Schizosaccharomyces pombe: one gene and its partners. Changing the gene in region 1 together with any one later gene gives a genetic interaction. Each region holds a gene or a part of one and is shown in the gene's direction. Other genes may lie near its edges. The genes, in order: gmh4, pro2, rxt2 and vps5.

Region 1 (7,998 bases):
CACAAACTGAGTCGTATTCAACAAAAAAAACGAAACTTCGAATTATGAAGGAGACTGTTTAATAGGTAAAATAACGTTTAAAACATCTGTTTTCTATTGATGGGCTAACACGGATAATAGGTAGTAGTAAGGTTAGTACTTTATATCCAATCCCATACTGTCTAATAGTCCTTACTTCCTCTACACAGCAATGTTGAAAATAGGTCGAAATGCTACGATATTAAAAAACAATTTTTGGGTGAGTTTTCTTTTATTTATAGTTTTATTAATATAGCATAGTTTGCCTCCGTGAGGTTTCAATCTGGAGGGTTTTCAGAAAAGTTGGCGAAAGGACCATCATTTGCAGATTTCTTGAACATGGATAAACCATTGACTGCTGACGAAGCTTTCGAGTTAGATAGAAAAGTAGAGCTACCAAATGGCTCTATACACAAAAGATTGCCTTCATGGCTTAAAACCAAAGTTCCACTAGGAACAAATTTTAACCGAATAAAGCATGATTTGCGGGGATCTCATCTCCATACGGTTTGTGAAGAAGCGAAATGTCCGAATATTGGAGAATGCTGGGGAGGTAAAGACAAATCTCGTGCCACAGCTACGATCATGCTTATGGGTGATACTTGTACTCGTGGATGTCGCTTTTGTTCGGTAAAGACCAGTCGCCGTCCAGGTCCTTTAGATCCCAACGAGCCTGAAAATACAGCAGAAGCCATCAAACAATGGAACCTTGGGTACATTGTTCTCACTAGTGTCGATAGAGATGACCTGACTGACCTTGGTGCCAATCATATAGCAAAAACGATTCAAAAAATTAAAGAAAAAGCCCCGCACATCTTGGTAGAAGCTTTGACCCCCGATTTTAGTGGAAGAATGGATTTGGTTGAGATTGTAGCTAAATCTGGTTTGGACGTCTTTGCACACAATGTAGAAACGGTAGAGGAACTTACCCCATTTGTTCGAGATCGACGAGCCACATATCGACAAAGTCTGAGCGTGCTAAAACATGTGAAGAAAACATGTCCTCACCTTATCACTAAAACCAGTATTATGCTTGGTCTAGGTGAAACCGATGCGGAAATTCTAACAACTCTTAAGGATCTCCTGGAACATAATGTAGATGTCGTTACCTTTGGTCAATATATGAGACCTACCAAACGACACCTAAAAGTGCAAGAGTATGTACATCCTAAGAAGTTTGAATATTGGAAAGAAGTGGCAGAGAAATTAGGATTCTTATACGTGGCTAGTGGTCCACTTGTTCGTAGTAGCTATAAGGCTGGCGAATATTTTATGGAGAATCTTATTAAAAAGAGATCAGGAAACCCTGCTTCTATGAGTGTTTAAACATGGCTGCTTATCTAGGTACACTCGATAGGAGTTTGTCTTCAACAGAATTACCCTTTTTTGCATTGACTCGAATCATCTTTTAAATTTTTTTATTCTTTATTTCAACAATACACTCTTAGATATAATTTTAATCATAATAATTCTCGTCTTAGTTTCTAATATCGTCTTTATACCCAAGTTATCCTTATAATTTATCATATTCAAAATTGATTTTGTTTTCCTTGATTAGCGAGACAGCTTTATAATATTTAAGTAAGAAAAAGACAGCTTCACCTTTGTAAGTATTTAGGCTTTATCGTCGTCCATGCATCAGCAACATATCTGACAAACGGGTCATGGCCGCCAAAAGTATCTCTTCAGGAATGGGATCATTTAGAAAAGAAACTGGGAATGGGTTAAAAGAAATACTTTTGGCAGTGGAGTCTACGAGCTCTTTTTGTACGACATTGTCTTGTAAAACAAGAACAGCATGCCGAAACGAACTTGGTAAACTCGCTTCTAACTCTTTTGAAGTAATAGCTGAAGTCTGACTGTTGATTTGAACAACAAAGTCATATCCACCTTTGTAAGGAGAACTTTTACACAGCTGAGAAGAAAGACATGACCGCACCTTGTAACCCCAATAATGACCACCTTTTTCTCGTGGAGCTGAAAAAGACACGATATCACCTTGAAGCTGGCCTTCTTCGTTTGGAGACTGCGCTTTTAATCGAACCGTGACCCTTGTTCTAGGAGCAAGGACGCTGGGGCTGGAAACGATTACATTGTGAGATAGTCCAGCATTTATAATATATTTATTCTTTGCTTGCGGAGATGGATGAGTAACGATTCCCTCTCGGTATGGGAATTCAATATTCACTGTGCTAGCCTTGTCATTTCTGAGGGGAAGTAATGGAAAGCAGCTAGTATATTTTAGATGTGGATTTAGTGGAAACAATTCCTTCCTCATAAAGAAAGGCGTTTCGAAATAGCATAATAAGTCCGTGAGAAATTTTGTGGGATCCTTTAAATAAGCATCAGAGGAAAGTGTATGTACCTGGGTGTTTTGCACATATTCAGGGTCCTCTAGCAAAATAATTTCGTCAATACCATATAGAGAAACTATTCTCGAAATCTATATTTTGAGTTAATACGCGACAACAACGAATCTTTCAAACCTTCCAGACAAAACTCGTTTTAAGCTGCAAATTGTATGCTACATTTAGACTTGAAATAGGTAATGCTAAAGATATCGTATATCGTCTCGTTGGTGGTAAGCTTTGTATTTCGCTTTCTTTTTCCATAGCAGTTTCTGTAAGCAATTAATGAGAAGTAATAATATGGCCCAAGTAGCAGTATTTTATTTACTTTTTGCTGTCTTGGGAAACAGAATATTAGGATTTGGCTTTTTATAAAAATTTTAACGTCTTAAAAAGTTGGTGAAGAGTAAAGGCATGAATTTCATTTACCAGGCTAAAAACCGTCCATTTAATATAATTAAACTAATTTTAAATTTTTTTTGAAGTATTGATCAAGGTAAAGGGATATTTTATATCAATACTTTTATTGATAGGTAAAAAAAAAAATCCTGTACTTCATAAACAATGAAAAAAATTCAAACAAACAAATGTGTTTAATGCCATTCAATGAGTGCGATTTAAACTATCAATGAGTCTTCGTAAATACCAAAGGGCTATAGAATCCCCTTTTTTTTTTTTTTTTTTTTTCTTTATATGGAAATAATAAAAAAAATGGTGTACACTTTGCTTGCAATTTATATAAACCAACTATACACGCCGAAGCTTGTATATAACCGCTGTAAAAATTTGTTAGTAGAAAAAACAAGATGATATTTTATTAATTACATACATAATTTTTTAAGTCAATAGAAGTTCATCGACTCTGATTCAATTCATCTTCAATCTTACTCTATTTACTATTTACTTTTATGATTTTCGCTATATAATGAGTAGCACCGGGTATAACGCTATAACAGTTTAAAGTATAATTTCAATATCACTAAAAAAATCTAAAAACACGTTAGAGTACGTTAGGTAGGATGCATCGTACACGTTAATCAAAATCCTTCGAATGTCGAACACGCAGACTACAAATACAGCCAAGTTGCTGCCAATTATAAAAGCAACGTTTCTCTGCTCTTAGTACGTGGTTGGGTGGATCCTGATTTCTGTAAAAATCATATTCAATATCAATAACCAGTCCATCTTGACTCGTAGTCTTTGAAACGGTGTAAAAGGATTGTTGTCAGGATAAGCTATAATCTATTGTTGTTTAAATTGTAGAATCTTCCTCTTTTTTAAATATCGCCGATATAGCTTGACAAAAAGGCTCATTTTGAAAGCTAGGCGTTGTGTTCTCGCAAGGTTTCTTTCATTATCCGGTTTTTCGTATTTCTTAGTGAAAACGCCCTCTGTAACATCTTTACTGTTTTAATTTTCGGATATACTCGCGTATATATCGTTGGATCATTTATTTGCATTTAAAAAAGGGCCATATATATTCCATTTTCTTTACGACCCAGATCTTTATACCTTTTTTTCTCTTCTCTATTTATACCTTCTCGATTTACAGATATTCTCTTACCTTCTTTTCTACATTATTTGCACATTTAAAAAACCCCTAAGGTTTATTCTTTTAAACCGTTATCTTGTTCCATAGACGCGCATAACCAACTCATTTTTTCTCGCAAACTGTTTGTTTTGCACTTTTTTACTTTGTATTCTGCAAGATGTTCAACTTTCGTTTATTTTCTCGTAGAGGAAAAAGTTTAGGTCTCTTGGCCATCGTTTTATTGCTTTTTGGCTTTTATTCTTTAAAGTCTTCAATGCCTGTTTATTCCAATTCGATTGGTTCTCCCAGTGCCCATTCCTCTTCATACAAAGGTGTTTCTAAGGCGAAAACATCTCCACAAGATCCTGATTCCGTAGTCATGTTGATTGTTAGTTTTGACGACCATTATGATTCAAGTAGATCTGACTCCAGCTCTGTCTTCCTGGATAAAGTGCTTTCTGATCGTACAGAGTATGCCTTGCGTCATGGCTATACCCTAGTCCACAAGAAAGCCCGCGATATTCAAGCGAGGTATGGTGTCTATGGTACTTGGAGTATTATCCCAGCTTTGAGGGAAACTTTGGCTGAGTATCCCGACGCTGGCTGGATATGGTTGCTCGATGCAAAGGCTGTTATAATGAATCCTTCCGAATCTCTCAAGGATAGGGTCTTGAAACCAGAAAAACTGTCGCAGCATTTGCTTCTTAATTCTCCGATCGATCCATTAAAGAACTACATCCGTACACGCCGTAAAATGGATCCATCTGATGTATTTGTAATTACCACCAGTGATTATAATGGAATTAGTACGCGTTCTTTGCTTATTAAAAATAACAACTTTGCGCCATTTCTTTTAGATGCTTGGAATGAACCTTTGTTGAAATCCGCCGGTTTTGATCAAGCTGAGCGATCTGCGCTATCCCACTTATTGGAAGCACATAACACTATCTTGGATCATGTTGCACTTGTGTCTCCTAAAGTTTTAAATTCATACACCAACTCTGCGGTCGATTTGAATTACGAAGAAGGTGATTTCTTGGTTATTCTTCAGGACTGTGAGAACGCTGCTGCATGCGAGCGTATATTCGAGTATGTATTCTATTTATCATCTTGGTCTCTTGTATTTTTACTAACACTTCCAGCAACTACTATCAACAGAGAAAACTTCCAGCCATTAAAAAGCAGCTTTCGGAAGAAACGGTTGATGAACAATCGTAGGTTAGTACTGTCTTAGCATCTTACTTTCATTTCCAGTAACTCATCTTCATCTAAACCTATCTTTCAAATTCGGTGGTTTGCATATTCCTACATTAATTTAATGAATTTATACTTAATTTCCTTTGTTTGATCAAGGGAAGATATGTTTTTCGTTTACGGAAATACATCGCAGATTGGTTTACAAGTCAAGCAATTCATATGTTATATTCATCAAATCTTCTTAATGAAAGCACGTTAATTGCTATTCTATGCAAAGAAAGAAACATTTATTATGTTTGACCTGAAATCCACATAAACCCAGTTGAATAACATTAATGCATTTCATGGCGACATAGAGACATAGATGCTGTTGAAACATCACTCATGCAAAAAAAAGAGGCTGAAACATTTTTAAAGTAATTATAACTTCAAAATAAATTCTATAAACTAAATGATAAGAATAGATTAGTAACGATAGTGATCAGCCTTGTAAGGACCGTCAACAGGGATACCCAAGTAGTCGGATTGAACAGAAGTCAAAGTAGTAAGTTTGACACCGAGTTTACCCAAATGAAGACGGGCAACCTCCTCATCCAACTTCTTGGGAAGCATATGAACACCAAGAGGATAGCTGGTGTTATCGGTCCACAAAGCGATTTGGGCAAGGACCTGGTTAGTGAAAGAGCAGGACATAACAAAAGAGGGATGTCCGGTGGCACAACCAAGGTTAACGAGACGACCATCAGCTAAAAGAATGATATGACGACCGTTCTTCAATTCATAACGATCAACCTGGGGCTTGATGTTAACAACATCCTTAGCGTTAGCCTTCAACCAAGCGACATCGATCTCGACATCAAAATGACCAATGTTACAAACGATAGAGTCCTCCTTCATTTCGTTGAAGTGCTCACCACGAATAATGTCACGGCAACCAGTGGTGGTAACAAAGATTTGACCTTCCTTAACAGCCTCTTCCATAGTGGTGACTTCGAAACCGTCCATAGCGGCTTGAAGGGCATTGATGGGATCGACTTCAGTGACAATGACACGGGCACCTTGGCTACGAAGAGAAGTTGAACAACCTTTACCAACATCACCAAAACCAGCAACAACAGCAACTTTACCAGCAATCATAACATCAGTGGCACGCTTGATACCATCCACCAAGGACTCCTTGCATCCAAAAAGATTGTCAAACTTGGACTTGGTAACAGAGTCGTTAACGTTAATAGCAGGAACCTTAAGCTTGTTCTCCTTGAACATTTTGTACAAGTTGTGAACACCAGTGGTGGTCTCCTCAGAGATACCACGAATGTCAACCAAAAGTTCAGGGTGACGCTCATGAACAAGAGCAGTCAAATCTCCACCATCATCCAAAATCATGTTCAAAGGCTTACCACTAGGGAAAGACTTCAATTGTTGCTCAATACACCAGAGGTATTCTTCCTCAGTCTCACCCTTCCAGGCGAAAACAGGGACACCAGTGGCGGCAATGGCAGCAGCAGCATGATCTTGAGTAGAATAAATGTTGCAAGAGGACCAGGTAACTTCAGCACCCAAAGCAACCAAAGTTTCGATGAGGACGGCGGTTTGGATGGTCATGTGAAGGCAACCAGCAATACGGGCTCCCTTCAAAGGCTGAGACTTGGCATATTTCTCGCGAACAGCGATCAAACCGGGCATCTCATTTTCAGCGATTTCGAGCTCCTTGCGACCAAAGGCAGCAAGAGAGATATCAGCAACTTTGTAGTTTTGAGTAGCCATAATGAGTTAAAAAATTATATGATTCTATTAAAAATAGTAAAAAAAAATAGATGTATCAAGCAAAAGATCAACTACCACGTCCTTACGAATGGTTGGCAAAGGATGAGTTGAAGTGCGAAAAAATGAGTCGACTAAGCACAGTAAGCCTCTTAATCAAATTTGTTGAGAAAAAAGTTTTATTAAATAAAAAATATTCAATAAAAACTTTTCATAAAAAAATATTCCTCCAAAACGAAGTTTACGAGATGACGATCGATCTGCAATGGGAAAATGTTTGAAATTCAGGTAATTCACTTAAAAACATATATTTATTGTAATTCTTGAAGTTTAATCTAAAGATCTACTCATTCTAAGCTCTTTAGCAGGAGCTTGGTGAGTAAATGCAGCCAAGCGCGTAATATGTTGGAATGTAAACAAACATAAACAAACCCATTCTCAGCTTCTATTTCTACCACTATACATATTTTACTGAAAACACAGATACAATGAGTAATGAAAGTATTTACTCAGTGTTAGATTTGACACAAGTCATATTTGAAGATAGATATTTGGTTAAGCAAAAGCTCGGTGATGGCAGCTTTGGAACGGTATATTTAGCTCAAAGAAAAGAAAAAAACGGACTTTACGAAACAGTAAGAAAAGAATAAAACAAACTTCTGAAATCTAACAATTGTGAAGGTTGCGGTGAAGAAATTAAAGAACAGTAGCAAGCCCAAACCAAAGCATGAACTTTTGAAGCTGAGAGAATCCTTGGTAAGTACTTAAAATCTTAGAAGAAGAAACCAAAGATGTTTCAACGTCGTTCAGCTCAAGCTCGACAAAATTGAATTACTGTGTTTATCGCATGCATTTTTTAAATCCTATTATCTACGAGTCTAACAAAAAGGCATTACGAAAAATTTCAAAGCATCCTTGTTTAATCGATCTCTTGGAGACGTTTATGGACCCCTATCGCAATATATTTTTAGTTATGGAGTTTATGGATTGCAATCTATTCCAGCTTTTTAAAAGGCGGCAAGGAAGACTTTTCACAAAGGAAACAGCATTTAATATACTTCTGCAAATAATCAGTGGAATCGAGCATATTCACAAGCATGGATTCATGCATCGAGATATCAAACCTGAAAATATTCTTGT
Region 2 (6,096 bases), on another chromosome or scaffold:
TTGTGATTTTTATTACTGCTTAAAGCTTTCTGAATGCTAACCCTCAGTTGATTTGAATATAGGGATACGCCCGAGCACGGTAGTTTTTTACTATTGACAAGTAAACGTACTGTAATAACAGCAATAACTGAACTTAATAACATAGGTTCACTAGAGCTTTCTTGTATAATAGTTCAATCAATAATTTGTAGGTCTTAAAATGCGTTCATGGATGCGCTAGCGATATAAGCTTACCAAAGTGTGGAATAAAGAATACAGTGACGAATGAAGCTACTAAATAGTGCAATTTAGTGAATATTCCTTTTGTTATAGATAGGTAACATGGGTAACGATGCTCAGTAAGCTCATTCAAACATGACACAGCCGGCTTCGTACAGCTTACATTACCCAACGACATATACATACTTTTGTTGTACCTGTCCCGTATTTGTGGACACTGGAAAAGTAGAATACTTAGAATGAGATTACCTCTGCTGAGTTTTGTTATATTTGCGCTTTTTGCGCTTGTATTTGCATCAGGTGTTGTAGAGCTCCAAAGTCTCAATGAGTTGGAGAATACTATCCGAGCTTCTAAAAAAGGAGCATTGATTGAGTTTTACGCCACCTGGTGTGGACATTGTAAATCTTTAGCGCCAGTGTATGAAGAACTTGGCGCTCTTTTCGAAGACCACAATGATGTCTTGATTGGCAAAATTGATGCGGATACACACTCCGATGTTGCTGATAAATACCACATTACTGGTTTTCCAACACTGATCTGGTTTCCTCCTGATGGATCTGAACCAGTTCAGTACTCCAATGCTCGCGACGTTGACAGTTTGACTCAATTTGTGTCTGAGAAAACTGGTATCAAAAAACGCAAGATTGTCCTCCCTAGCAATGTAGTTGAGCTCGATTCTTTGAATTTTGACAAGGTTGTTATGGACGATAAAAAAGATGTTTTAGTTGAATTTTATGCGGATTGGTGCGGTTATTGCAAGCGTTTGGCTCCTACTTACGAAACTCTTGGCAAGGTATTCAAAAACGAACCAAACGTTGAGATTGTTAAAATTAATGCAGACGTCTTTGCTGACATCGGAAGGCTACATGAAGTTGCAAGCTTTCCCACCATCAAATTCTTTCCTAAAGATGATAAAGATAAGCCTGAATTATACGAAGGAGATCGTTCTTTAGAATCTTTGATCGAGTACATTAATAAGAAATCTGGAACTCAACGTTCTCCCGATGGCACTTTACTTTCTACTGCCGGCCGTATTCCAACTTTCGATGAATTTGCTGCTGAGTTTTTGGATATGTCAAACGCTGCCAAGGAAGTTGTTCTTGAAAAAGTCAAGCAGTTAGCCTTAGAGGATTCATCTAGATGGACTAAGTATTACAAGAAGGTTTTTGAGAAGATTTTAAATGATGAAAATTGGGTACATAAAGAAGCTAAGCGTTTGTCTAAACTTTTACGCCAGAAGAGCATCGCTTTGGCCAGTGCTGATGATTTTAAAACTCGCCTTAACATTCTAAATTCCTTCCTTCCTGGTAATCACTAGTGATTTGGAAATGTTTGCTACGTTATAGGTGAAAAAACTTAATCTTATGACCGTAGGTTTATAAATAAATCAACAGTTTCATGATATTTTCGATAAATACTGAGGAATATGTAGGTTAAAGTATTACCCTTTAACAATTTTTTATGTACTTATAAAAATAGATTTTCTCTCCATTAATGATTTGTGTCTTTTTTAGTTTCTACGTATATGATAAACTAAAGACAATAATTAATATTAAATAGAACGTTGTAGGTAAATTCAACAGCTATATACTCTAACAGGCTTTTATCCTTAAAATTGAAATCCAAATCCTACATATAATTATTCCTTATCAATGGGCTATAAGGCTTTCCGTTATTTTACCACTACTAGATGGGCCGTTGATTTGTAAAGGTGAAGACAAGTCGTATTCCACTAAAATTTATCCTTTTTTTAAAAAATAAATTTCAACAGTAACTTTGTAGATTTTTTTTAAAATGTCTCCGAAGTCGAAAAGCACAAATAAGACTTACACAATTGTCATCAAACTTGGTAAGCACGGAATAGTAAGCTATACAAAAGCATATGTATGAATTTTATATCTCACTTTTTCAAATATGTATTTCTTTGTTTGCTCGTTGTTGGCATCACAAACGCTTTGCTAACATTATTTTAGGCACATCGTCAATTTGTGATGAAAAGACTCATGAACCATTAATTTCAAATTTGTCACTAATCGTTGAAACCGTTGTCAAGCTTCGAAAGTTGGGTCATAATGTCGTTTTGGTTTCAAGTGGTGGTATTGCAATGGGCCTTCGTAGATTAGATTTACCTAAGCGTCCTTCAAAGCTTTCTGCTGTACAAGCAATTGCCGCGGTCGGTCAAGGAAGACTAATTTCCTTATGGGATACCTTATTTACACAACTTCGTCAGCCTATTGCGCAAGTTTTAATCACTAGAAACGACATTGCCGAGGTAAGATTCAGATAATTATTGTTGACACTTAAAAAATTATTTTAATTACTGACGGGTACTAACTATTAATATTTAGAGATCCCAATATGTAAATGCAGCGAACACAATTTCCGAGTTGCTACATTTTGGGGTAGTTCCCATTGTAAATGAAAATGATACTCTGTCTGTTCAAGAAATCCGTTTTGGTGATAACGATACTTTATCGGCAATTACAGCTGGCATGATAAACGCAGATTATTTGTTTTTACTTACAGATGTTGATTGTTTGTATACAGACAACCCACGTACCAACCCTGACGCTAAGCCTATTTTAAAAATTCATGATACATCAATGGTAAATGCAAACGTTTCCACACCCGGTAGTGGAGTTGGAACAGGGGGAATGAAGACGAAATTGATCGCTGCAGATTTGGGAACGTCTTCAGGCGTAAATGTTATAATATGTCGTGGTTCTAAACCTTCGAGTATATTCGATATAATCCGTCAGGAATCCTCTGATAATAAAAATGAGTCAGTTGAATTACCTCTGCATACCCACTTTGTAGCCAAAAAGCAAGGAAGGATCCGTGATCGACACTTTTGGCTTTTGCACGGCCTTAAATCACATGGGAGTTTGGAAATTGATCGTGGGGCTTTCGAGGCTATAACCCGTACAAATAGAGCAGGATTACTACCAGTTGGTGTAACCAAAGTACATGGCCATTTTTCAGCTCACCAAGCAGTTACGGTTATTTACAACGGAGAGGAAATTGGCAGAGCCCTTGTTAATTACAGCAGTACTGAAATAGATTTGATTAAAGGCAAGAGAAGCAAAGAAATTGCATCCATCTTAGGATATAACGAAACTGAATATGTCGCCTACAGAGACTATTTAGTAGTTCATGGTTTAAATTCTCATCATGATTCACAAGTTAGTTCTGATGAGCATTGATGTATATATTTAATCACTAGCTTATTTAGAACTACTAAAATTTGTTTTTGCTCTGTTTTTTACCTTTATTATTGGCTTACTGTTATTGAAATTTTTTTGTTATAGAAGGAAGGTTTACGAACTTAATATACAAAAACAGAACCATAAATATCTATTAGAAAATTTATTAAGATTTGTTTATTTTTGTTAAAAAACTATTAACCTTAGATAATAATCAGACGTTTTGTACTGAGTTGTGTAATTAACAAAGTACATTTTGTTGGTATTATATCGGATACTTCCTACGAAGCCTGTGATTGGATTTGGCTTTCATAAACGATGAATATAAGTACACGCAATTCCAACCTCCCCTTGATACAGTAAAACTTACAAAGAAAACAATGAGTAGCTCGACTTACAGGAAATTGCCTAAAATCTTAGCTGCAGGTCTTGCTATTGGTTGCGCAGGTGGTTATTATGCTTATAAAAATTCGAATAAGCCCCCAGGACTTAATCCCGAAATTTATGCTCCATTTACAGTTAATAAAATTACAGAGCTTACATCCGATGCTAGCTTGTTTTCGTTAGTTCCTCAGAGCCCTTCTGAACACCTTACTACTTTGGAACCGATTGCTAAGGTAACAATTCGTGATCCCAGTATGCAAGTCCAGAGACCATATACCCCTTTGTACTTGGATGCCAATGAATTAAAGTTCTTTATTAGAAAGTATGAAGAGGGTCCCGTTAGTTCTTATATTCATTCTAAGAAAGAAGGGGACACTATTGAACTTCGGGGTCCTTTTAAAACCACCAAACTCGATTGTACGAAGTACCCAAGAATCGTAGCTATCGTTGCAGGAACAGGAATTGCTCCTATATATCAATTAGCTCAGTCTGTTAAATCCCCAGTCGATATTGTATACTGCTCAAGGCCTGGTCAGCCCCCTTTGCTAAAAGAAGAATTGGAAAAGGAATGCCCAAACGTAAGGGTGAAGTCCGTCCAAAATCGTTTGGTAAACATTCATGACATTTTGGATTGGGATAATGTTACAGTTCCTTTAAAGGATACCCTTTGCATTGTCTGCGGTAGCCAGAAGTTTGTTTCTACAATTGCCGGACCGAAGGCTGATTATGGCGCAAGACAAGGAGAAGTCAAAGGACTTTTATCAAACAATCCGTTTGGGAAAGTTTGGAAGCTTTAGTTTAGAAATTTTTGGCTTAAGATTTTGGGTTGCACGATCTTTGGACAATTGTGCATAATACAAAAACGATTTTTTTGTTTATCTTCAAATAATTTATTTTTACCGATTTGGAAATAAATTTATACAAATAAGGGAACTCTTAAACGTTACGTGTTATCAATGAAATGGAGCGGTTTTCTTAGGTAATGGAGAGAAAATAAAAAAAATAGTATTTAAAAAGTTTCTAAGTGTATAAATTTTTATCCATTAAATCTAATTGTTATTGAGGGTTTATGCATCTGCTGCTAAGCAGGTATAGTATGTCAAAAAGAAAGCCCATACAAGCAAAATATCTTTAAATAATTAATTGCATAAAATGTGAACGAGGGAAAGGTTCATTTTCAACTCGCATATAAACAAGCATTAATGCAAAAACTCATCAACTGCTTCACTAGTAATATCTTCAGAATCTCTAGCTTCAAATACTTTGTGCACCTGCGACACATCTTGAAACCAGACTTTAGCAGAAGCATAAATCATAGATAAGTCATTTGGGGTAGCACTTGGTCTCCAGTATATCATAAACAATGGAGTACTAAGTCGACCATCTGTGGTTTTGGTAGGATAGGAAACAAGGATAAATCTAGGATTTGTTTCCGAGAGTTCATCTGCGACCTCTTCAATACTCTGTAAATCCATGATTTCTCCATCGGGAACAATCTCCTTAGTAGCTTTATCAACCTTGAGAATGAAAGCATACATAACTGATTTCTTCAACCGCAAACGAAATCGATCAATTTCTTTCATCGTGGTATCCGAAATGGTGAACATACGAGCCTCTGATGACATCTTTCTTGTTAGTTTATAATATTTATGTAAAACCACAGCAATAGCCAATTAAGGAAATTTAATTTCGAGGGTGGTGCTTTTGTTGGGTTGAATTAATACCGTTCGTGCAGAATCCTAAAAGATATTTAAATTCATGCTAGGAGTTAAAAATTTATTTTTGAGTTTTGATAGATAATTATTGATTTTTTAAATACAAATTATTCATCAATTTTATTATATTCAAAAAGTCTATATCCACGTATGTGATATCTTTGAAGTTCGTAAATTGGCAAATTTAAGCATTGTGTTATATTTACAACTTGATAAATAAAAAAAAAAAAAAAAAAAAAAAAAAGAGGATACTTAAGGATAAATATTATATAATACCTAAGATTGAACGAACTAATGTTTTTTTTTAATATTCCTAAGAATATCCTGTTAATGCAATCACTTTTTTAATAACATTCATAAAGTCTTTGGTCATCGGGACTAGCTAATAATACTTTACGACGAAGCGATAAAAATGTATTACTTTAGCAGCTCGAAGTCGAGCGGTAATAAATCAAACACTTAAATTTAAGTACTTATGTAAACTTTACTCTATAATAGGCTTAGGTGTAAAAGTTTATTTTCTTGCAAAAAGCACATACTACACCGCACCATGCTATGTCTGGAGTAGTAAATC
Region 3 (8,223 bases), 940 kb from region 1:
TTCTCGTTGTGAGTGTTTAGATGATTTGGATGAGCCAACTCATTTTGCCTATGATGCACAGGGGCGGGTCCGTGCAGATACGGGTGCCGTTATATATGAATGCAACTCTTTTTGTTCTTGTTCAATGGAGTGTCCTAATCGCGTTGTTCAACGTGGTAGAACTCTTCCGCTTGAAATATTTAAAACAAAAGAAAAAGGATGGGGTGTACGTTCGCTTCGATTTGCCCCTGCTGGCACGTTTATCACTTGCTATTTAGGAGAAGTCATAACTTCAGCAGAGGCCGCCAAGCGTGACAAAAATTATGACGACGACGGTATTACCTATTTATTTGATTTAGACATGTTTGATGATGCTAGCGAGTATACAGTGGATGCTCAGAACTATGGAGATGTCTCTCGTTTTTTTAACCACTCCTGTTCACCTAATATAGCTATTTATTCTGCTGTTCGGAACCATGGATTTCGAACCATTTATGATCTCGCTTTTTTTGCCATCAAAGACATTCAGCCTCTAGAGGAGCTTACATTTGATTACGCTGGTGCAAAAGATTTCTCACCTGTTCAATCTCAAAAATCTCAGCAAAATAGAATTTCAAAACTTCGCCGGCAGTGCAAATGTGGTTCCGCTAATTGTCGTGGCTGGCTTTTCGGTTAAGCTAATTTATTACTGGTTGACTCCAATAATTACAATTTGTTTTTCTCCATTACTGTTAAACTGAAAAAGGTCATTCATTTTCTAAGCAACGAGATTATGTATATTATCTGACCTGTGGGATTTGCCGAACAATTATCGGTAAAACATATCGGTGCTTATATTTTTTACACTTGTTGAAAGCATTATAGTAATTGTTGTAAAGCCTAGCGTTAATGGAAAAACTCTTTTCATCTGCTGCGCACATGTGAAGTAAAAAGGGCGTTTAAGCGTTAACGGTAATGGACCGTCCTTCAGAAGCTATAGAAGGAGCTGCTTCTGTTTCGAGCACCTGGGGCATCTGATTGTTTTCTCCTTCTGCTGAGGCGAGGGCATCAGTTGTTTCTTCAGCTGGGTCTTCTTGTGCAGCTGTTCGAGGCGTTGGAGTTGTTGTAGGAGTTAAGGGAGTTTCCGGTTTTATTGTGGTTTTTGAGAACTGGGAAATTTCTTTTAGTCTCCCGTCTTTATCAAACTTCTTATGCACTTTTTTTTGCACCAAACCTGAGAGCTTCTTTGAAAGGTTGGAAGGAAATATCTCAAATCCTGCCTTAGCAAATTCAAGGGAAGGATCTGCCTGTAAAGTTTTAACACTTTTGGTAGGTTTAGCATACTTGTGAAGCTTAAAGCCGAATACTCTCTTGTTGCCTCCTTTTTTCTTCTTATGATGCCGATGATGCTTTTTTCCGGCTTTCTTAGACGTTCTATCTTCATTGCTGACAACACTCTCTTCATTAGTAGCTGCAGTGGAAGGGTCTTGATCGTCTGCAGTAGGGGTCGCAACATCGGGAAGTGCTATATCAGGAAGTGCAATATCAGTCTCTTCTATGAAAGCTTGTTCAACTGATTGGGCTGTACCTTTAACATCTTCTTCAATGGCGTCTGCTATTTGACCGATGGGGGTTCCGTTATCATTTTGAGTAGAAGCTTGCTCAACATTTTGAGTTGATGTTGATTCTTCTGCCGGACCTGTGGCTGGTTTTTCTTCTGATGCGGGAGCCACTTCTTCCGTAGTAGCAGGAAAATGTTCTTCAGTGGTGGGAATTTGGTTAGTTTCATTCTCAGGAACTTCGACTGATTGTGCTTCAACAGTAGTATCAACCGGGTCAGCTGACGTTTCATTATCAATGGGACTAGCCGTATCGTTTTGCGGAGTTTTCCCCTTAATCATGTTTTGAAAAAAGTCAAAAAGACCGTCTTTGGCAACAGAATTGTTTTGTTTTCCGCCATGAGATTTACTAGATGACTTTTTCGCGTCCCGTCCGTTAGAAAGCATTGGAAGGAAATAACGAAATGTTTCACTTGCTGAAGGACCTGAACGAGCTGCTAACTTGCCGAGTCTTTTAAGCGTGTCATTGTAAGCACGAAGCTCTTTAATTTTATCTTTGGTTTCCTTTTTCTTAGCAATGGCATTTTTGAGATCAGTAATCCATGTATTTTTACTTTCTGGGTCTAGGGCTTCAAGTGTTTCTGATTTACCATTGTTAAAATTGATGGTGAATTTGTTTCCAGTACCGGGTTCTATGGATACTGCATCAGTCTGAAAATACAGTTAGCACGGTTAAAACTAAAAATCAGGGGAATTAGGAATTCTTACCAAATTAATGATTCCGCTTGGGACACTAGTTGATTGAGATTTGGAGTAAAAGAGTAAACCACGGCAGTCTTGAGTAGCTTTAGCGATACGGTTAAGGTGATCATTAGCAGACTGGAAGAGGGAATCAGCATCAGAGTCGTGCATTTGCTCAGAAGCTAAGGAAGGTTCCGTTGGGTTACCTTGCAAAGTACCATGGAAGTGTTTTTTATAATAATGGTCTAATAAATCCATAGACATAGGGCCTTCTAGCATATAAAAATACCTTTTCATGACATGACTACATGTGGTTAGTAAGATTACTCAATCGATTGTTTGATTTTTAATAAATGGATGCTGTTTTGACTTACGGAATAAGTCCGTTGGATCGACAGTATAAATACCCACCAGTGGTGTAGGTCAATGGTTTTTCATCCTTGGCTTTCTTCTTGGATTTTTTTTCTTCAACCTTGGGAGCTGCCACGCTGTTTGGATCATCATCTGCAGGATCGATATTGTCGACTGTTTCAGGCTCCTTGGGTTCCTCAGGTGCTTGTACTTCTGCAGGAACAGCGTTTTCAGTGGCATCATCATTGTCGGTTTCGTTGCTCAATGGCACCTCCAGTGTCTCCACCTGGGCCTCAGCAGATCCCGAATCATGTTCATTGTGTTCCGACACATTTTCGAAAGTAGGTTCAGCAATCTGCTCAGGTCGTTCTTCACGGCCCTCATAAGACATGATAAGAAGTCGAAAACAACAGTTAGGCTCTCAATTTTGGATTTTTTTTATGCTGTAAATATTTGTGGTAGAGGAAAAGTCTGCGCCAAGCTGGTTATTTGAATACCAATTGTTGGCGAGAATGTAAACAAACAAATCGACTACCTAATATACAAACAAACGATGGACATCAATAGAAAAGGGAAAATACATAGAATTTACTTTTTAAATGTTAAAAAATTTCTACTAATTCATTCTTATTAATAAAATCTTCAACGGCCATTAAATCTTGTATTCGCTCATTCGTATCAAAACATATACATTCTTCTGGAATCGAGCTGTCTGCGATTGAATGAACTATATAGTATTGAGAGATTTTACAATTAAGTGTTTGTCTTTAATTTCTAATTGCGACTACCATCCTAAAATTTTCATTTGAGTTGAAATCTGTTTAACAACAACAGATGAGCCATATTTTTCATTGACTTTATACATGATTGTCACCATTAGTTCCTTTTTTTATAAAAATTAAATGTTGTTTAACTATTCTGCTCATTTGTTTTGCTTAAAAACTAAGTAGGTTTTAATTGGTAAGAATTTTACGAGATTTTAAATTTTTATTTATTTACTTATTATTTTTGACGAACGCTAGTTTCAAAAAAGCAAATCCAAACTCGAGGTATTTTCAAATTGTTTAAAATTTTCAATAGAATGGAAGGATGTTTTTTAATGCTTTCCACATCTTTGAATTGGAAATTTCCTTTTAATATTTACACTTCTTCCAAGAAAACTATAGCAATTTGTTTCATTATAACGACATAAGTTTGTAGGAGAAAAAGTGTGAGAATATAAAAGTTCCATAATAATACATTATTCTCTATGGATTAATTATTTTTTTTAAATATTTTTTTAAGTTAAAAAGCTGGTCTTTCCATCCATGTAAAAATTGGAAAAGGAATATCGAGAAAGCAAAATAAACCAGGCCCTACCTGCGGAAAGGGATTTTTCTTATTATTCAAGAATACTAGCAGCTTACCTCTAACGATTAAAACAATGTATATTTTTGTTTCAATACTATTTATTTATAAATTGAATAAGTAACCCAACTTACGCCAGGTTATTTTCGCATTTTATGTAAACGCTATAATGCGATAGAAATCGCTAATTTGTACTGGATTGAGTAAGTATGAATATCTGACGTGCCAAAAACCATGAAGCAATTTGAAGAACAAATTGAGTAGGTTTTTATGAATGTCACGTATTATGTATTTTTCTAACAAATTTAGAAGGTTTAAGCAGGCGTTATTTGAAGATTCTGATGGTAATTATTGTCAAAATGAGATTTATAATTTTCACTAACATCTCGTATAGCCTCGGATTCCGACTCTTCCATTGGAGAGGCACTTACAAATCGTGGATTAAAAAGAAAGAAAGGATCGAAAAATGTATATTATGGTTGCGTCGGTAACTCTAGTGGCTCCTCTATAGACATTGATGTATGTGTGAGTAATTGGGAATCGTAAACTGCTAACCACTACTTTATAGTACTATAACATTGGTAATACTAAAAGAGGAGTTGTCTCTCATTTTCGAAGGAGAATAGATCCGGAATGGTTGGACCATGATAACCCATATAACGATATAAACATAGCTGGTAAGTCGTACACACACTTAGTTATGTTAGACATACAATTTTTTTGATTCATTGTGCTTTTGGAGATTTCGTGTTGTGTTTTCAAAGATTGATTATGAATTGAATTGAAATATTAGTTATCAGCACTCGCCAATCATGGTCATATACATCGATCGCTTGCTAACTCAGTAAAAATTATAGAGATCATGTCACCGCTGACAAAACCACAAGACTTGCTCACACATCCTGCTATATCTTCCATATTTGAACAAAATTATTTATCAATCCTTGCTTCTTCTGCTCTTGAAATTATATCTGCTGAACACAAATATACTGCTCATCTCGAACAATTGATGGTTGCACTTTTAGGTGATGACCCATCACTACCAGGACCACCTCATGAAGTGTTTGGGATTTCTCCTGAACAGTGTAGAGAATTGACGATCACAGTTCAAGAAGCTTTGGAAAAAAGCAAGGAGTTTATTAGATGCTGGACAAACGTTCGCATGGACCTTCTTCGGGCCATTCGTTTTAAAAACAAAGTCATTGCTTACTGCCAAGGTGAAGACTATAATGGTAATACCCAAGTTTTGTCTAAAAATGAGAGTGATGGAAAACCAAATTCCTAAAATTTATTGATTTCTCATCAATCTTTTCAATTTCATTATTTTGAAGCTGATGAAGCGTATAAGTCAGCAAAATAAAACGTTGAGAATATTATTCTTTATTCCATTCGATTTACAATTCCTTTTTACGACATTATAAAAATAGAATTATCCTTTTTTAAAACGTCTTTGGTGATTTCTTCTGCAATGAAACTTAATTATTTCTTTTACTTTTTCATAACGTTGGGTTTTTTCTCAAGCTTGGCATCCCCAGCTATTAGAAACTTTGTCTTATAATTTGAGATACTGCTACTTACATATTCCCTTTGGCTATCCTAATTTCTATCCACACTTTTTTCTACTTATTCTTTCCAAGGGAAGTACGTTTACGTTTGCTGTTACATAATTTCATTTATCACTGTTGTATATTTTTTCGTTCAATCAACCGACTAACATGTGCTTGCCATTTGTATGTTAATACATTACTTATCCTTTATTTTGCTTTTTCATTTCCCCAAAGTATTAAAATTGTTATTTGTTGTGAAATTGCCCAACCTTCTTTTTGTTAGAACAATGTAAGTGCTTGAAACAACAAGATTACAAGGATTTATCGCAAAACATATTCAAGTAAACATCAATCTTTAAAAACCTGAAACCATCAGAACTATTGTTTGACTGTCCCTGATATGATTGTATCACTTTCTTCCTCAAAACTAAATTCAGACACACTAATCAATGCATGTGTGACAAGATATTTACGATTCCTGCATGTAATTTAACCGAAACCTGTTTTCACACATTTCTCAATTAAATTTTTGTTAAGAATTCCTATACTAAGAAAAATTTTCAGATGTGTGTAAAATTTCCATCGTTTATCTATAAAGATGGTTTATTGATGAGAAAGATAGTAAAAAATAGTGTCGGCTATATTATTACATCAGTGCGCTATCAGTTTAAAAGGTTGGGCCTACTAACTTAACATATACTACACCTCAAGAAAAAGAAAGAAATGCCCCAAGAAGTAAAACGTTGCGTTCTCGCCTATTCAGGTGGTCTTGACACCTCCTGTATCCTCGCCTGGCTTATTGAAGAAGGTTGGGAGGTCATCTGCTATATGGCTAATGTTGGTCAAGAGGAAGATTGGGATGCAGCCCGTGAAAAGGCCTTGAAGGTGGGTGCTAAGAAGGTTTACGTTGAGGACTTGCGTGAAGAGTTCATCAATGACACCGTCATTCCTGCTGCTCAAGCTAACGCCATTTACGAAAATGTTTATCTCTTGGGCACTTCTCTTGCTCGTCCTATCATTGCTCGCCGTCAGATCCAAATCGCCGAGAAGGAAAACTGTATCGCTGTCTCTCACGGTTGCACTGGTAAGGGCAACGATCAAGTTCGTTTCGAATTGGCATATTACGCTTTGAAGCCAGACGTTCAAGTCATTGCTCCTTGGCGTTTGCCTGTATTTTTCGAGCGCTTCGCCGGTCGTAAGGATTTGCTCGAATATGCTGCTGCTAAGGGCATTCCCGTTACTCAAACCACCAAAAAGCCTTGGTCTATGGATGAAAACATTGTACATTGCTCGTATGAAGCTGGAATCCTCGAGGATCCCAGTATGACTCCTCCCAAGGACATGTGGAAGCTCACCGTTGATCCCAAAGACGCTCCTGATGAGGTTGAAGAGCTCAGCATTCACTTTGAAAAGGGTGCTCCCACCAAATTAGAGTGCAAGGATGGTACCTTTAGCGGAGTCGTTTCCATCTTCTACCAATTGAACGCTATCGCTCGTCGTAACGGTGTTGGTCGTATCGATATTGTTGAAAACCGTTTCTCTGGTTTGAAGAGTCGTGGTTGTTACGAAACTCCTGGCTTAACCATTTTGCGTACTGCTCATATGGACTTGGAAGGTTTAACAATGGAACGTGAAGTTCGTGCTCTCCGTGACCAATTCGTTACTTTCAATCTCGCTAAAATTTTGTACAATGGACAATTTTTCTCTCCCTGCACTCGTATGCTTTTAGCAGCTAACAACGTTTCTCAAGAGGTAGTAAACGGTGTAGTTAAACTTTCTGTCTACAAGGGCAATGTCACTGTCCTCGGTCGTAAATCTGATACTGCTCATCTTTATGACGAGAAATTGTCATCTATGGATGAGCTTGGTGGATTTGACCCTACATGGACCTCTGGTTTCATCCAAATCGAGTCTATGCGTTTGCGTAACTCTGATGAAGGAAAACATTGGATGTAAATGCCAGGTCGTTCTCAATAATAATGTCATACTCACCATGTACTTGAGCCAAGCAATAATCAAATTTCTGCTGTGCAAATAAGAAGTATTATTTGAGATGGCTTCCTTTTCATATTCACATTTCATAGAATTACTCCGTTCATATCACTGATAAGTCAATTGAATATTTTTGTTGCAAAAAAAAAATAAATTCTGAAAACTGTAACTAATTGAAATTGAAGTTTTATATTGCAAACGCAAATTGTTAAGATGTTTAATGTACTCAATACTATGCTTTTAATTTAAAAAATATTTTACAGGCCTTTAGCCATTCTTCGTATACAGTCCTAAAATCAAGAATAATGTCGAAACCATCTTGAATGATAAATGAAATGAGGAACAAAAAAGATGAAAAATATATTACTAAAATAAAATTTTTTAAAGCATATCCATAACACTTTGTACTCGGTAATCTGAAAAAACAAAGAAGATAACGCTGCTAGTCAATGTTCAAAAAGATCCGTTATTGATAAACCAGTAAGCAAAGAGACAACCGATTAGTAAGAAAAAAGAAATTACAGCAAGTGTTTTGAAGAGGGCAAGGGCAATACTGGTAGTCTTATTTACAATGACCAAAGAGAAGTATAACACTATAATCAAAGTCAAGATATTAATAGCTGAGGGCAAGCTCAATCCTAGATTTCCATTGAACAATGATTTTAGGAAAGACGTTTCATATTTTTCGAAACTTTTGCCTACATTTTCAACGGTTTGAAAGACTTGAT
Region 4 (8,370 bases), on another chromosome or scaffold:
AACCATGAGTCAAATGGTTCTACTTTTTCTTACGTACAGAGTTTACGCCGTGCAAAGGCGACTGTCTGGAGTGATATAGGCCGTGTGGCTCCTTTACACTCTAGCCCATCAATCAAAAGTTCATCACAAAATGGGAAGTCTTCCAGCAAAGGCTTAGGAGGCATGCGCTCAAGGGTATTTTCTAGCCAGCATCATGGTGTTTATCACACCCGTCCTGCTTCGCTTCATTCACGTACAATGGCTCCTCAGCACACCATTCTTACTCCACGATTATCTGCTACCGAAGGTAAGGATGACGATGAGGACGAATTGGTAATTTCGACATCGAATACTGCACCAACATATATCTCAATGATTGAGTCTTCACGTGCCAGCTCAACCCATAGTGGGACTGCACCTTCCATTATGGGAATGTCAATACATTCAAGAGCAGACTCCAGAGCCGAAACTACTCAATCAGACGGCTTTGAATCTCGTAGCGGATCACCTACTCATGATATTCAATCTTATCTTGTCAATCGACGAAGCAGCAGTTCTGAATCTTCAGACGAGGACAGTGCTGAAGAAGGAATGAAACGTCTAGTAATCACAAATATGGGGGACAATGATGAATTCGATAGCGATTAGTGCAGTTATTTTTCCATCGATATCTGATAAAGTATTATTATTTATTATGGTGCTATTCCCTCACCTAGTTTAATTGCTTTAATTCGTTTACTTTTATTCGCATTCTTTGGCATAATCAAGCATTCCTTCCCCTTTCTGTTCTATTACGTATTTCTTTCATTTAAAACCCGGCATTGTCAGCTAGTCTCACATCTTTAATCAAAACATGAAATAAACTATATCAATATTATCATCATTCTATTTTTATTCATTTGAAAGCTATTCGGTGCTTCCTGTTTTAATGTAACATGAATATCAATAACATTTTAATTATAGAACCTATAATGGTTTAGGTAGTGTGGAAAATTGGGTAAATATTTTAAAGTCCGAGATTCATAGATTAAATTGTTCAAAAACAAATATTTTATGCCCAACGAAGACTATTCTAGCAGACCAAGAAGCAATGAGGTATCGTTTTCCTTCATTATCTTTTCAGCCATTAAACTGCCAACGTTCTTCTCAAGAAGACCACTAGCATTTGGCGGAAGAGTTCGTTGATTTGGTAATTGATCATCCCGCAGTAATAGCAAAGCGTCGTACAAAGCATCCATACATTTATTGGCCTCGTAAATCTCCTCTTCATTTCCTTTTTCCAAGGTTTTCCGAACTAGGACTTCGTAAACTTTGATATTGGGAACGACGAGGACTCTAATAGCTTCTTTCCCCATAGTTTTTAAGCCTTTGATGGCACCATAATGAGTGGAATATGGCTTGGTGTTATCCAAAAATGCTTTGAGTGCCGTGCGAGTAACGCGAGGCTTTAATGTATAATACACATTACCAAATCGATCACAAACAATCCCGAGTAAAAAAGCAGCTAAGTCTCTTAGTGCATAATGCTCGTGATTATTAGGATCACTGCCAAGGCGCTTCGCGACCAAACAAGTAAGGATGGATGGCATGAGTTGTTGGACGTAAGGCTCTACAAAAAGGTTGGGGTTATCAAGAAGGGCCCAGGCCATGTGCATTAAAGTAGTAAGAACCACAAGATTTCCTAAGTTTCGAGTTACAGAATCCGATAAAAACATTATGAAGTATGGTAAAAGTTGGTGTAATCCGGGGTCGTCACGTAAACTCGATAGGGCAGCATCACGGAGCTCAACATTAGTTTCATCAAGCAATGCACTGGTAATACGCTCAAAATAAAGCTGTAACTCTTTGGATAGCACATGTCGCACCAACGGTTTTATCTCAACGTTGTCCATCGAAGTGACACCGTTTCGAGCTTCTTTAGCAGCAGTTGAAGCACCTGGCATAACCCCTGAAGTACCCTTGGATGCCCATTCTCCAACTGTGTGATCTGAGGGAGTTGGATTTTGAGGAATGGCTGGCTGCACACCTTCGATGGCCAGCCAGTGTGCACTGTAAGAAATGTTTCTAGGGACTTTAGGGAGAGGAGCGTTTATGATTTTTTCAAAATCCACTTCCTCATCATCAAGGTAGTAAAGGGAATTTTGGCCTGCACCTACAGCGGCTTCATGAAATTCTAATGGACGAGAATTATTGAAGCCGTATAACGGCTCAACATTCAACGTCCGTAACGCTGAAGAGATATCTGCGCTAGTTAAAACAGTTCTTTTAGAATGAACCATAAACTTAGTGGCTTCCTAAATCAAATACTGTTAGAGAATTATGTTTAATGTCAGAATAAAGCAGACTATCTAGCAAATTGAAAGGCATCGTAAAAAACTAGCAACAATTTTTTAGTTATTTTAGCCTCTTCCAAAGAAAGTAAAATCTCATAGTCTACTTTCACGAAACCTACCTGAACCACCTGATGAATTCTATATTCGAGATCCATTGCAATAGCTGCTGCTGGTTCATCGGCAAGATTGCCAATCCCAAGCATTTCAGCAACATCTTTGATGGATTCAATATTCCATACTGTCAAGGACATGACTTGGTAGTAAGATGAACGATTTATGGATCAATGAGTGAATTGCATCTGCAGAGAAGTAGTTAACGATGTTAGAAGCAACTGCTTTATTTAACATACTTGTCAGCAATACTACACTACGCTATAATACACTACGTTGCGTATCACTATATGTCACATGTTCTAATTATATATCGTACCATGTATGATACGATATGGAGATTGATCTTAATGATAATCTATTAAGATCTATATTATCTGAATACTATAAATAGAGCTACTGCTGAACCTCGTTCCTCAGTTCAGTTATGAGCTATATTAGTGATAGGTAACATTATAACCCAGTTAATACAATACCTATACTCAGTTGCTACTTATACAACCTGTGTATTGTAATATAATAGATCACAAGGAAAACTCACCGCAGTTCTACGTATCCTTAAATCAGATACCAAACTGCGTAGCTTACAAGACAGTGAGCTACACTAAAATCGCTATTAAACATTACGTTACGCATCAAAATACACTACATGGAATACCAATTAATCTCAATTTGTTGAACAATAGCAGAAGACTATATGTTTGTTTACTAAAACATCCATTGATATTGATATAAAATAGTAGTTAAAATTAGAAGTCTAGATTGAACAGAGCATCATTCTCAGTCCAGTTATTAGCTGTTACAATGATAAATATATTATCACCCACCACTCACAATACTGTATAACGCAATATACTGCTTCTACAAGCTAAATATAATTTAATGTAGCCTTAAAAGGAATTAGAAACTTGAATTGTTGACACTTATCTAGTTGCACCGCAAGTCACCCCGCATTGCTAAACGTATTTAACCATCGTTATTTTTCGCTAGTCGTCGTTGGGCTGCGCATCACCATTTCAGGCACGATTTCAGTGATCAGATCCAAAAACCCAACCGGCCACCATCATGCTTGGGCATAATATATATGAAGAAGACGATGCATTTAATCCATTCGCAGATTCCGTTTCTCCACTGAACCCTCCAAAAACCGACCAAGAGCCCTCAGCTGAAGGAGTGGAAGAAGAGTCGCCGAATGTTCAAGCTTCTCCACCAAAAACTCATATCTATACATCTCCTAGGAAACGAAGCGTCAATTTGAAATCTCTTCCGTTTGAAACGTTAACTTTGGATTCTGCACCTTTAGGTCCCTTGCAATTTTCTGATGCACCTTCTATGGCACCCGAAAACAACCGTTTGGAAGTTGGTTTAAATACAAAAATTAATCCGTTAAAAGGATCTAGTCCCGCTTTGAATGCAGATTTTTCTGCAAATAAGCCTTGGATCTCAGAAGTGAACTCCTTTTCCCCTTCTCCTATCGGAGCAACGGAAAATCCCACTATACCAAATTCAGAACAGACGGTAGATACTTTAGACGCTGCCTCATCTTCTGCTCCAAATTTTACACACACTGTCTCATCTGCCTCCTCCCAGAAGCAAGGTTCAACCTCATTAACAGATACGGAGAATCAGAAGGCGCACCCGGCAGCGGCACCTCAATCTCTTACCCCGTTTTACATCCAAGTTCATGACCCTCATACCGTTAAGGAAATCACTAAATCGCATACCGTATATTCGGTTTCCACTCGTTTAGAGGAACACAATCAACCTTCTGTTAGCAATGTGACTGTACAAAGACGATATAATGATTTTGCTTTTCTTTATCAATTGCTTTCTAATAATCATCCGGGTTGTATCATTCCTCCCATCCCGGAAAAGCAGGTTGTAGGCCGTTTTGATGATGAATTTATTGAACAGCGACGAGCAGCCTTGGAGGTAATGCTTCGCAAAATATCTGCCCATCCGGTTCTACGTGATGATTACTCATTTAAGTTGTTTCTTGAAGCAGAGACATTTGACCCTAGAATGACACATCGTACTACTCTCATTGAGAGTTCATCAAGTCCTTTGCGCTCAGGTCCCTCAACATCTGGTTTACTTGACTCATTCACCTCCGCCTTCCATACCTCTGGATCTTCTAAATTTTCCGAACAGGATCCAATTTTAATTGAAGCAAAGGATACACTTGATTCGTTGGAAACTCAACTAAAGTCGGTTTATCACGCGCTTCTTTTATCCATAGATCAACGCATACAGTTCGCTTCAGCCATCCATGATTTTGGCGAGGCTGTTGGAAATTTATCTTTAGTTGATTTAGAGCCCACCTTATCATCCAAGTTTGATGGTCTTTCCCAACTCCAGGTAGAGCTTCGATTTGTACAAGAACGTAAGGTTGCTCAAGACAATTTGACACTGGGCACTACATTGGAGGAGTACATTCGGTACGTGGAGAGTGCCAAAAATGCCTTTACTACACGTCAAAAGTTGTGGCAGACATGGCAATCTTCAGTTCAAGCTGTTTCTCGTGCTAAAACTCAACTTGAGAAATGTAAAAAGCAAGCGAAATCTCAGCAAAAATCACTCCCTTACTTGGAAGAACAATACGAAAAATATCGAGCAAAAGCTGCTGATCTGGAAAAAGAGTTTTCGGAATCAACAACTCTGTTAAAACGAGATTTGAGTTCTCTCACAACCAGTAGAGTTGATGATCTCAAAGCTAGTGTTGAAACGTGGTTGGAATCTGCAATTGAATCTCAAAAAGAAATTATTGAGCGTTGGGAATCATTTTTGGATCAATAACGACTCTAATTTTCCCTATGCACTCTTTTAATTTTTATGTTTTTCTTTCGTGTAATATTTCTATCCCATATTCGTATTAATGTATTTCCAACTACCGCTTTATTACTTTGCACTTCTCTAGCTGACGATTTCTATTCTATTCTAATTATTTTTTTGCAATTTCCCTTTTCGTCCATGGTACTTCATTACTTGAAAAGAAAATGTACCTTAAAATATTGCATTCTATCTACTAACCTTACAGCAACCCTACACTCCTTTGTAAATAAATAACTTGTGTATGTTTTTAAAAATTGTCTTTGTTACTCAAGCCTTTTTATATTTGTTTATGTTTAAACGCTTTTTCCTGCTTAAATTGTGTTACTTATATGTAAAAGCGTATGCAAAAATTTGTTTAATAATATGGTGTATGACTACTTTATGTTACATATTTATTTGTCTTAATTTAGACTCGTGATTCAAAGCTCTCAAAACGATAGCTCAAAAAAATGTTCATGTAGGAAACGTTTATCATTTTGTATCCTAAGGTTTATTCATATTTTTTAAAAAAAAAAGTGGATTTCGCTTTCATTAATAATCTCGTTATATCAATAGCTAATCACATAATCAAGTGCGAAATGGAAAAGCATTTAATCAATTCAATGCCGGATATCTGACTGTTGAATCGCAATGTCTTCAGCCTTTTTGAGGAAAGGTAAAAGCTTTCCATATTCTTCATAAGTTTGGGCGGATGGTTTATTCATGATTAGTTCAATTTTCTTGGACTCATCCCAAGATTTGTTTACATATTCTTCAAAGGTAAATCCTTTTCCATTCATTGCATATGCAGCCTTGATAGCGCCCTAAATTGATGGTCAGTAACTATTAATTAACAACATTTTCCGTTCACTTACGCCAACAGCACAGGCATTACTACCGCCGTGTTTTAGCCGATAAACATCACATCCCAAAACCTGGCTAATTTTAAACACAATAGCCTCGTTACGACTAGCTCCTCCTACAACATAAACACGATCAGGTTGTGGTATACCAGTTAGCAAAGGAGTAATCCGCATGCGGATATCAAGATTTTGACTTTCAACTATGGCAGAAGCATCCTCATCTGGATAATCCCATGATTCTTCATCTTTATCCACCTGATACAACTCGGTGCCTTGGATTGCAAATCTCCACGTACCCGGTCCAACTGCGGGTAAAATCTCCCTTTGTGGATAAAAAAGACCGAGCTGTTTCTTTTCACCAGCACCTTTAATGTTGGGGTTCAAAATCGATTCATTAAAGCGGTCCCAACTGGTATTGTCCGAAACATTATATTTTTCATTGATTGTGTTTCTTACCTGTTCCCGCGCTAAGCTACCGTTTTTATAGCATAACATTACCATATAATGCTAAAGTCCATGTTAGTTAGAAAACCAGAGAAAATGATGAGTTTTGAACAACTACTTCACCAAAAGAAAGTCAAGTTCAACTTACGTTCTGCGTAACAGGATGAGCAAACATGTGATACTCTGGAGAACACACATAGTTTTGAGTAGCCATTAGAGCAGTAGTACTAGTACCCAATGATAATAGTACATCTTTTCCCGGTCTTAAAGGAAGGGATAAAATAGTGGCAGGGTTATCTCCAGTTAAAGGAATGATTTGACAGTTAGGAGAAAACCCATACTTCTTAACGAAATACTTCCCAATTGGTCCTAGATGTTTTGCCCCGTTAATCTCAACCGTACCTAGTTTGTTAGCCAAGTCGGGTCCTTTAGAATTACCAGCAACTTCTTCCAACAAGCGAATATCGAATTTCTCATTCTGAATGTCCCAGAGATTCATTCCACAAACGTCACTGATGTCTAAAGGTGCCTCGGTTTGCAGAAGTACCGAGGCTAGAAAATTAGAGACAAGTGCAATTCGTTCGGTATTTTCGTATGTCTCGGGGTGCAAACGACGAAAACGCTTGATTTGGGGTCCAGTAAAGCGTAGGTGAGCTTTAGACCCAGTAAGGTCCGCTAGTGCTTTGGCTCCACCAATGCAAGATTCAAGCTCCTCGCATTCTTTGGTAGTACTGGCATCTTGCCAATTTGGAGATGTTGGATGAATGAGACTTTCCAATTGTTGTTTTAAAGAAGATTTGGCATCCAACGAATTGAGGGCTTTTTTACTTCCCTTAAGCAGGAAAACGCTTGCATGTTGCTGACCGGCACCAGATATAGCTTGTATTTTGCTAACATCCACAGAAGCCTTAAGTCTCTCAAACAGTAAATCGATGGCGTCTAGCCACATACATACTGGAGCAAAAACCTCATATCCATTCCTGTAGACCCCTTTGATAGTGTTGTAATCACTTAGATCCCGATCAAAATCGACGGCAACCTCTTGATGCACGTTCAAAGACTCATCAATGACCACGCCCTTGAGCTGCTGAGTTGAGAGATCCAAACCTAAAAACATATTCACAAAAGTCAAATCTTTAAAATGACTGTCGATATATTGTACTTAAGAAACGGAAAGAATGAATTTCGACAAAATCAAATTAACAGAAAAATCTCGTTTTAGCGCCTTCCTTAAGCTGTATTTTCCGCAGTTATATGTCTGATCAATATATATATCGTTAACCATTGACATCCAAAAGTTCTAGCCGTGACTTATGTCCGTTTTTACTTACGATTATGTTCGTAAAAATACCTTAGATACAGTTTACCGAAACCTTTTCAAACGTTAGCTTAAAAAAACTCAGAGTGTTGTTGGGGTAAGGTACCTTGTTTACTCTAGAGAAAAACAACGCGTTGGAAACACGTTTGGCAAAAAACTCTTTGAAAAAAAGTGATATTCGTTTCAAAATCGAATATCAATATAAAAAAATGGCTGAAAAGTTTGATACTGACAAGGAATAAAGCTAAAAACTCTTGTTTCAGCAACAATTGACTGAACTCTGGGAGAACACGAAAAGAAGGAGAAATGAAGTCGTTTACTTAAAAAATCGTTAAAAAGTTATTACTTCAATAAATTTAATATTTTCTTGTTTGTTAATTGTACTCAGAACTGAGCAATGGTATGTAATAAAGCAAGAAATAATACAAATCCTATATGGTTGTGGTTAGGCTTCGTTATCACAAAGATCCTGAAATATCATTTTAAGATATGCGTAATGTGCGTCCTTAAT

The links.
Region 2: mutations in gmh4 (region 1) and pro2 together harm fitness less than expected from each alone (positive genetic interaction), as found in Schizosaccharomyces pombe (one large-scale study listed by BioGRID).
Region 3: mutations in gmh4 (region 1) and rxt2 together harm fitness more than expected from each alone (negative genetic interaction), as found in Schizosaccharomyces pombe (one large-scale study listed by BioGRID).
Region 4: mutations in gmh4 (region 1) and vps5 together harm fitness more than expected from each alone (negative genetic interaction), as found in Schizosaccharomyces pombe (one large-scale study listed by BioGRID).

What each region holds. Positions count from the first base shown.
Region 1 is NC_003423.3:1,386,108-1,394,105, forward strand, and holds gmh4 (alpha-1,2-galactosyltransferase Gmh4), read left to right. Parts: upstream 1-3,428; 5' UTR 3,429-4,075; coding exon 4,076-4,986; intron 4,987-5,039; coding exon 5,040-5,115; 3' UTR 5,116-5,559; downstream 5,560-7,998. Other genes in the region: lipoic acid synthetase Lip5, read left to right, coding at 191-238, 280-1,344; SPOM_SPBC8D2.16C (uncharacterized protein), read right to left, coding at 1,640-2,461, 2,505-2,630; SPOM_SPBC8D2.18C (adenosylhomocysteinase), read right to left, coding at 5,560-6,861; serine/threonine protein kinase Mde3, read left to right, coding at 7,347-7,493, 7,540-7,614, 7,748-7,998.
Region 2 is NC_003424.3:2,024,671-2,030,766, reverse strand, and holds pro2 (glutamate 5-kinase), read left to right. Parts: upstream 1-1,899; 5' UTR 1,900-2,014; coding exon 2,015-2,069; intron 2,070-2,193; coding exon 2,194-2,492; exon of another isoform or gene 2,493-2,568; coding exon 2,569-3,423; 3' UTR 3,424-3,559; downstream 3,560-6,096. Other genes in the region: ER protein disulfide isomerase Pdi2, read left to right, coding at 459-1,538; cytochrome c-heme-linkage protein Cyc2, read left to right, coding at 3,804-4,604; actin regulatory protein gmf1, read right to left, coding at 5,007-5,432.
Region 3 is NC_003423.3:449,007-457,229, reverse strand, and holds rxt2 (Clr6 and Rpd3L histone deacetylase complex subunit Rxt2), read left to right. Parts: upstream 1-4,184; 5' UTR 4,185-4,190; coding exon 4,191-4,216; exon of another isoform or gene 4,217-4,265; coding exon 4,266-4,300; exon of another isoform or gene 4,301-4,350; coding exon 4,351-4,475; intron 4,476-4,524; coding exon 4,525-4,633; intron 4,634-4,813; coding exon 4,814-5,241; 3' UTR 5,242-6,203; downstream 6,204-8,223. Other genes in the region: histone lysine H3-K9 methyltransferase (Suv39) Clr4, read left to right, coding at 1-655; pleckstrin homology domain protein Meu6, read right to left, coding at 918-2,228, 2,286-2,562, 2,633-3,000; arg12 (argininosuccinate synthase), read left to right, coding at 6,227-7,459; nuclear membrane organization protein Apq12, read right to left, coding at 7,949-8,223.
Region 4 is NC_003421.2:699,119-707,488, forward strand, and holds vps5 (retromer complex subunit Vps5), read left to right. Parts: upstream 1-3,478; 5' UTR 3,479-3,488; coding exon 3,489-5,219; 3' UTR 5,220-5,700; downstream 5,701-8,370. Other genes in the region: protein mug123, read left to right, coding at 1-627; TATA-binding protein-associated factor TAF6, read right to left, coding at 1,047-2,273, 2,432-2,563; xks1 (xylulose kinase), read right to left, coding at 5,855-6,058, 6,110-6,604, 6,690-7,658. UniProt on the Schizosaccharomyces pombe protein: Required for efficient sporulation target of PtdIns(3)P in vesicle transport required for onset of the forespore membrane formation. Plays a role in vesicular protein sorting.